2 linked regions of the Rattus norvegicus genome follow. The protein of the gene in region 2 binds, or shares a complex with, the protein of the main gene of each other region. Links are inferred from orthologs where the notes say so. Each region holds a gene or a part of one and is shown on either strand. Other genes may lie near its edges.

The links.
Region 1: the proteins of Cic (region 2) and Ywhaq are in contact, whole or in part, in a crystal structure (PDB 6KZG), measured with the Homo sapiens proteins. The link is inferred for Rattus norvegicus from reciprocal best matches to the Homo sapiens genes CIC and YWHAQ. Residues at the interface, in NP_001291744.1 of Homo sapiens: Arg1207, Ser1208, Met1209, Ser1210, Glu1211, Thr1212, Gly1213, Thr1214; in NP_006817.1 of Homo sapiens: Lys49, Arg56, Lys120, Arg127, Tyr128, Gly169, Leu172, Asn173, Val176, Tyr179, Glu180, Leu216, Ile217, Leu220, Asp223, Asn224, Leu227, Trp228.

Annotation. Positions count from the first base shown.
Region 1 is NC_086024.1:46,667,136-46,670,944, forward strand, and holds part of Ywhaq (14-3-3 protein theta), read right to left. Parts: intron 2,277-3,809; coding exon 2,113-2,276; intron 1,407-2,112; coding exon 1,311-1,406; intron 1-1,310. UniProt on the Homo sapiens protein: Adapter protein implicated in the regulation of a large spectrum of both general and specialized signaling pathways. Binds to a large number of partners, usually by recognition of a phosphoserine or phosphothreonine motif.
Region 2 is NC_086019.1:89,980,301-89,984,827, reverse strand, and holds the start of Cic (protein capicua homolog 1), read right to left. Parts: upstream 3,086-4,527; 5' UTR 2,998-3,085; exon of another isoform or gene 2,210-2,997; intron 1-2,209. UniProt on the Homo sapiens protein: Transcriptional repressor which plays a role in development of the central nervous system (CNS). In concert with ATXN1 and ATXN1L, involved in brain development.

The sequences.
Region 1 (3,809 bases), on a different chromosome or scaffold from region 2:
CATTTCTTGACTCGTGATTGGCCTGGGAGGACCTAGCTTCAGCATGGGAAGTGTCACTCCTGAGCATGTGCTTCTGAGTAATAAAAGGAAGAAGGCTGAGCACGTCATGGAAACAAGCCAGTAAAAGCAGCACTCCTCCATGGCCCCTGCTTCAGTTCCTGCTCTGACTACCCTCTTCTTCTGAGACAGGGTTTCTCTGTGTAGTCCTGGCTATCTCGGAACTCATTTTATAGACCAGGCTGACCTCAATCAAACTCAGAGATCTTCTTGCCTCTGTCTCCTAAGTGCTGAAATGAAAGGTGTGCACCACCACCGCCTAGCTCCTGACTTCCCTCTACGGTGGAGTATAAATCAATTCTGAAAAAACTGTAATAAATTCTTCTCTTCCCAATGCTTTTCAGTCATCATGTTTCCACAGTGCAATAGACTACAAACAAGAAAACCCTCTATCAAGTGTCCAAAAACAACTTAATTTTTTAAACCTTTGTAGGCACAGGCATGCTGCCTGAATACTGTGTATGTACAGTGTCCATGGGCCAGAAAGAGGGTGTTGGATCCCTTAGGACTGGAGTTTGTCCATTGTGAACCACTATGTGGGCACTGAGACTCAAACCTAGGTCCTCTGAGAGAGCAATCGATGTTCCTAACCACTCAATCATCTCTAGCCCTCCCACGTAAACTTTTGGTAAAATAAGGAGATTCTAACACATACAGAATCCCTAATTTGTTATTCCTAATTTACTCAAAGAAAGGAAATATTAGAATTATACAAGCTCTCTACATTAACTGTTATTGTGTTCAACTAAGTCAAATAGCAATGATAACACTGTGTTCCTATAACTTTCATAGAAAGGTTTGATAAAATACCTCTTCACCATGAAGACACTTCTCCAAATTTTGTAAGAGACTATGGAGCTCTAGTTATACAGTATTAGTGCACACCTTTAACCCCAGCACTTGGGAGGCAGAGCAAGCTGGTCTCTGTGAGTTTGAAGCCAGCCTGGTCCACAGAGTGAGTTCCTGGACAGCCAAGGCTACACAAGAGAAAACCTTGGGAGTTGGGGATTTAGCTCAGCGGTAGAGTGCTTGCCTAGCGAGCACAAGGCCCTGGGTTCGGTCCCCAGCTCCGAAAAAAAGAAAAAAGGGAAAAAAAAAAAAAAAAAAAAAAAAAAGAGAGAGAGAGAAAACCTTGTCCCCAAAATAACAACAAAGAGGCTATAGCTTTTCTATACCTGCTTCCAAAAGGCATGAACATCAAAATGAAGTTACTGTTGTTTCTGAAAACAGACATACAACACGGAATAGCTTACTGTTAAGTTGTCTCTAAGCAACTGCATGATGAGGGTGCTGTCTTTGTAGGAGTCTTCATTCAGTGTATCAAGCTCGGCGATGGCTTCATCAAAAGCCTGGTAAAGTTAAACAGCGAGTAATATAGTCAATTCAGGAACAGAAGCTAGCCAGTCTGCAAATACAACCCTGTGTACCACCACATTATGGTAACACTAGGGAAGTAGTCCCTTGGAGATCTAGTTTAAGATTTTGTGAAGGTTCTTCCTTCAGGTTCCTCCCATTTGGGAGAGTTCTGGCCTCACCCTTCCTTACTAAAGCAATACTTGCTCTGCTTCTTAAAAAAAAATAAAATAAAATAAAATAAAGAGAATTACTATATCGTGAAACTCACTCTAAGTATTTACATAAACACTTGTTGGTTCTTTCACAAGATACACAGTATATTAACAACACTTACATATTCTTACAAGAGCTAATGTAGTTACACTGCCCTTCTAAGACACCAGGGGAGGGTGATACAGGCTTCTACTGCCCAAACTTGGCAGGCACTCCTTTCCAGCATTTGATGTTTCCTGCCTAAAGTTATTTTTACTTCTTTTACTACTTTGCCCTCTAGGCTTTTCAGTCAGACATTACTATTTAGAATCACAGTGAGAGAACTATTTAGGGGCTGGGAGGTAGGTATGGGGAAGAGACACTAATGAAGAAACTGTGTCTAACACACATAAAAATGGCCTCCCTTGAGCACCCAAATACCTAAAAGTTAATGTACTTAGTTTCTTAAACACCCTTATAAAGAGGCATGAACTCAACAGATCTCACCGTTTTAGCCAGTGTGCAGGCAAGCTCGGGATTATTAAGGATCTCATAGTAAAATACAGAAAAGTTAAGAGCCAGCCCCAGGCGGATCGGATGTGTAGGTTGCATCTCTTTCTTGCTTATATCAAATGCCTCTTGGTAGGCTCCTTGGGAATTTTCTATCGTTTCTGTGAGTTGAAAGGGGGAAAAAAGTTAAGAACAACAGCAAAAGTATCTATCCAATATATAGCATGCTAACAACTTTAATATATAGGTATCTGGCTATTCTGAATCACCATAGCTCCACTGTATTTAAATAAAACTATGGAGACCACAAAGACAGTGGATAAAGAAAGGTGCTTGCCACCAAGCTTGACAACACAAGTTCAATCTTTGGAACCCACATGGTAAAAGATATCCTCTCATCTCCATGTATGTGCTATGGCATTTAGGCACACACATACTTTAAAAAAAAAAAAAAAGTCAGAGAAAGGGGCTGAGAAGCTGTGGCAGGACAAGATGGCAGAAAGGAAGTTGTTCCACATTTTTCTACACTGGAGATTACCCCCAAGTATGATGTAGTCCTCCTGCCTCTGCTGCACAGGTGCATAGCACCACGTCCAAATAGAGGTGTGTGTCAGAACTCAGGCGTTCTGGCACAGACGGGCGAATCCACTGATGGACACACAGCATAACAACTAAGGGGAGTGGAGGCAACTGGCCTAATTACGACAGGAGCCTACCTAGCAGCTGACTGAGGCAGATGCACATACCCACAGACAAACATTGGATGGAGGTTGGGGATCCCTATGGAAGAGTTAGGGGAAGGATTGAAGGCTCTCAAGGAGATTGCAACCCCACAGGAAGACTAACAGTGTCAGCTAACCTGAACTTCTGAGAACTCCCAGAGACTGAGCCACCAACCAAAGAGCATACATGGGCTGGTCCAATTCCCTGGCACATATGTAGCAGAGGGCTACCTTGTCTGGCCTCAGGGGGAAAGGATGCACCTAATCCTGCAGAGACTTGATGCACTAGGGTGGGAGATATGGGGCAGAGGTGCCCTCTCGGAGGTAAAGGAGTGGACGGAAGAGGGAGGAACTCTGTGAAGGGGTTGGAGGGCATCATTTGGGAGATAGATAGATAGATAGATAGATAGATAGATAGATAGATAGATAGATAGATAGAGAGAGAGAGAGAGATAGACGTGTGTGTGTGTGTGTGTGTGTGTGTGTGTGTGTGTGTGTGTGTGTGTGTGTGTGTGTGCACAATCTGTATTTAGGTGCCTGTGAGGCCTTAGGTCAGGAATGGGATCCTCTGAAGCTGGAGTTATAGACAGACAGTTGTGAATCACCTAATGTAGGTCTTGGGAACCAAATTCTGGTCCTCTTCAAGAACATCAATTTAGAATCAAACATTTGGTTGAGGGATGGCTCAGTGGGAAAAGGTGATCACTACCACTCCTGACAGAGTGAGTCCCTGGGGGACCACATGTTGGAAGGAGAGAATGGGCAGGTTGTTCTCTGATTTGCACACACACACACACACACACACACACACACACACATACACGCACGCACGCACACGCACGCGCACACGCACGCGCACATACACACACACATATAATAAATAAATAAATGTATAAAAGAAAAAACAAAGTAAATGTCCTATATGAAGCCCTGCTTTCAAGCTCTAAGCACACATACCCTATACCATCCTAT
Region 2 (4,527 bases):
TACCCACAGACCCAGGGTCCCCAGGGTCTTCCTACTTGCTGAGCTGACTGTCTCAGTTCCACGACCCACAAGACCACATCAGGTGAGTTATGGCAAGCATTCAGACGCAGACTGGCACCTGGGTCTCCTGAGCATATACAACCTTGGCTCCCTGCTCCTTCTGCAGGGGACATGCAGTATGCACACACAGGTTCCAGGTGCCCCCAAGGAGTGTGAGGATCCCTGAGGGTTCACACTGCGGAGCAATCACACTGTCCCAAGCCCTCAGCTAAGTTGCCTAATTTCCCCGCCCAACAGCCCTAAGAGGTGAGTGCTACTATCAAGCAAGGTGCAGAGAGACAAAAGTGCTTTGATTACAATCATTCACCTACAAAGCAAGGGGTGGGGGGACCTGAACCCAGGTGCTCTAGGGCTCCAGAATCTGAGCTCCTAACCACTGCTGTGTGCTGCCCATCATGTGATCTACACATCATGCTTGCTTGCTCTCACATCACATAGTGCACATACACAAATGCACACAGAGACACACATAAGCACCAAGCCACAGAAAGGGAGGTGACATGGCTGAGATATAAGCCTCTCTCCTCCCTCTACTTTCCCTCCACCCCTCCAGGCAGTCATGCATGGCCAGATACTGTGGGAAGGAGTAGGCAGCTGAGAATCCCTAGGGATGGTTGCCCACTCTGCTCAGTATCCCAGGTCTGCCAGGTACAACCATCTTCTCAGGTCCTGGCAGGGAGCAGGCAGGGGCACGTTTGTGGCAAGAGCTCATACCAGCACAGCCACAGGACTGTACATGAGCACAGGCACGCGCACAAATGCAGCACACGTCATCACACAGTGGGACACAGAACTGCACACCCCAGGGTTTCTCTGTCCCACTACACGGGAGCCTTCCCCTTCCCCCAACAGCACCCAGCGTGATGCCTGCAAGCCCAGCCCCCACTTGTGGCCTGCATGTCTCCTCACCCAGACTGGGCAGGCTGGGCAGGGTGTCTGAAATGGTCAGCACCCTCAGATACCCAAATATGCTCTCCAGCTCCAGGTGGGGACAAGAAGGACGAGGGCACAGACAGCCGGACAAGCCCAGCAAGGCAACCTCCCCCACTTCCTGAACAGTCACTCTGCCCGCCCCCTTTCGCACTGCCCTGAGAAAAGAAGGGGAAAAAAAAAAAGGCAAAACAAAACCCCTAAAAACTTTACTCCAAAGTGACTTGGAAAACTTGAGAAGCCAAACATGAGTTGTCCTAGATTACCCCAAAGACAATCAGAGACCCCTCTGACAGTTTTCAGGCTGACTGGGATCCCAGATCTCATGCTCTCTAACTTGAGGCCTTCTTCTGTGGGACAATCTGGGGTTCTCATAGGCAGATTCTGAAGGGCCTGGGAGTAGCACCCTAGTGCTGTGGAGCTAAGCAGACTCCACTGCCATCTCTCCACTGACTTGCGAGGACACCATTCTGGAGCCTGAGATCTGGTACAAACAATGCCCAAACATAAACCTTTAGACCCCACCCAGGGCCGACAAGTACACCAACCAACATCTCTTAACCCTGTTACCTGGATTGGTCTCTTTACCCCAGAGCCAAACCTCTCTTTCTTGGGGCCTACTCGCTTCCTGTGCACCATAGCTAACTACTACCCAGGGTCCTGTGGGCCCTCACCTCCCTTTCAGAACGTTAAACTTCTGAAGCTGAGGCCACCCCCATGTCCTTTAGGGTCTCATACCCTCTACTTCCATCCACCCTCCTGACACCATCTTCTCTGCCACTCTCTCCCATCTTGTCACCACCTCTACCTTATTTCCTCAGATACTAGGCCCCCTCCAGTTACCCCTGCTGGTCACCCCATTTATTTCTATCACCTATTCCTCCCAGTCACTCTTCTGTCAGCCATCTCTAGACCTCCAAATCTGACACCTCTGCCATCGCCTCTCTTCATCACCCCCTCCAACTCCGTCCCCTTCCTCTCCCTGTCACCCTGATCTGGTCCTGTTACCCCTCCATTCCTGTTATCAGCACTCTCCCCCAGTCACTTCTTTTCTGTCACTCCCCACTTCCTACCACTTCCTCCACTCTGTCACCCCTTCCCACACCATTCCACCCACCTCTTTTGCCCTGTACCCCTTCCCGTCCCTGCCACCTGTCCCCTCTCGGCCTCCAGCTCCCCTCCACCCCCACGCAGTGTCAGCCCTGGCCCCGCCCTTCACCTCGGGCTCCGCAGGGTTTCGGGGCGGGGGGCCGTGGCCCCGGCTCAGTCCGGTCCGGTCCCTCCCCGCCCCCCCTCCGGCTCTCCCTCTCGATTCTCCCTTTTTTTTTTACTCCAACACACAAAATGGTGAATGGACCTGCAACAGCTGGAGCAACCAGCCAATAAACGGCCACAACCCCGGTGACCGGCGCCAACCTAGGCCAATAGATATTCTCAGTCTAGTCGGCTCCGCCTATTGTCCGCAAGCGACACTCGCTACCACCAATTGCGCTCTTCCGGCAGCGCCAGGAGGCGGGGCCAAATTTCAAGACCGGCCTCCCTCCGGGACCGACACCAACCTAAGCCTACGACTGCCTGATCTGCCTAGAACTCTACCTTACAACAAGTAATGGACATCTGCTTTAACCAATTAACAGACTATTTATGTGCCGAATGACAGTTACAGTACCCAATCACCATGCATGTTAGGCAAGAAACCAGCCCCTGTGTGGGACAGTAACCAATGAAATGAAGGGAGGCGGGGCTAAAGGATATGACCTCCAATGAACAAGCTCGGGAGGCGTGGCCCTAGGGTTTGTTGACCAGCTGATCGCAATGCCTGCTGGGAATAGTAGTCGTCTTCTGTATCCGGCCCGTAGTCGAAAGCATAAGGCAGACTACAACTCCCATGTGACGGAGTGCATGGAGCTCCAAAGAACCCGGGCGAAGAGAAAAAGTCGGAAAGGACAGCTCCTCCTGAGTCTCGCTGGACACTGGGAACATCTTAGACCCAGGGCCCCGACTCACCCGGATTCCTGGCTCTGGCGTCGCCAGTGGCTCCTCGCAGTGGCGGCTGAAGCGGCACGAGGGGGAGGTGCAAAGAGCAGCCAACCGACACCCGCGAGCTCCGCAGCCAATCAGCAACGGCTGGGGCGGCGCAATGACCTCACCGGTTCTACTCTCTTACCCCTCCCCCACGTGGTTGTTGGTGCTGGTAAACCAGAGTAGAGAAGTTTGGGGTAGGGGGATGGGAGGAGAACTAGTGATGTCACCTTTCCTCTGCGTGATTGGCTGTTGGGTGGCCGGACTACGGCCAATCAACAGTCTCAAAAAGTCTGGCGCGGCCCCGCGGAAAGCCCTGTTGCCACCAGAAGGAGAGAGGACCTGAGGTTGTAGGGTAATGCGCTCTGCAGTACAGGCAACGCGCGTGGCCTGAGGCCGTCAGGCCGTGGTGTCAACTCCAAGACTTTTTGATTTTAGGACGGCGCACTTTTCTGATCACACCCTCCCATCTCCAAACTTTCTTTTGGGGCATAAGATGGGAAAATGCTGCACTTCCTGGGGTTTCACACTTTATTCCATAGGTGAAAAGCCCAGTGGTTGTTCACACCTGAGGAAAGATGTGTAAAAACCAGGGGTGGGTGTCACACCAGAGGTGAGGAGAAGAGCTTGTGCCACATACCCTCTGAGCCTAGATGGTTGTTGCCCCAATGCCAAATTTACACCAGGTGTGACTATCCCTAGTTTCACTCTACCCATCAGGTTTCCCCTGGATCAAAGGGTAATGGAGAATGATATACACCGGCTCTAAGGAAGGTTTCTCTTGCATATAATGGATACTCAAGACTAATAGTGAGAAAACACATCCGGCCTATTGTAGCGCATCTTACTTTCAGTGCTGGCTAGTTTTTAAGTTGAGGCAAATACCAAGTCCTGAGACAGTGTGAACCCCGATTGCCTCTAAAAGATTGCCCTGTAGGCAGTCAGTCAGTGCAGTGCTATCTTAGTGATTGAGGTCCAGCCCACTGTGGGTGGGTGCCACCTCTGAGAAGGTGGTCCTGGGATGTATAAGGAAGCAGGCTAAACCATGGAGAGCAAACATTATGTAAGGCTCCTCCAGGGCTTCTGCCTGAGTTCCTGCCCTGACTTCCCTTCAGATGGGCTTAATGAAATGTAAGGTGAAATAAATGCTTTCCTCATGGACTTGCTTTTGGTTTGCTTGACTACAGCAGTAAGACACTGTCCTAATGTCTGCACTATCCGTAAAAGAATGTTCTGTGGTATATGGCTGCTTCACACAGAGCAAGCGAAAAGAACCGGTTATCTATGGCACTGACCGTGAGGCAATTTCTCAATATCTATAGGAAGTCCCCACTGTCCACGGGGACTCAAGAATTTTTGGCAGGTCCTTACAAGTTCACAGAGAGCTTAGTCTATTACCCATGCTATTGTAGAACTCTGCCCTCACTATGTAGTCCAGGCTGGTCACAAACTGGAGTTAATCTTCCTACCTCAGTCTCCCAAGTGCTAGAAATAAAACCATTAAAGCCACGCCTG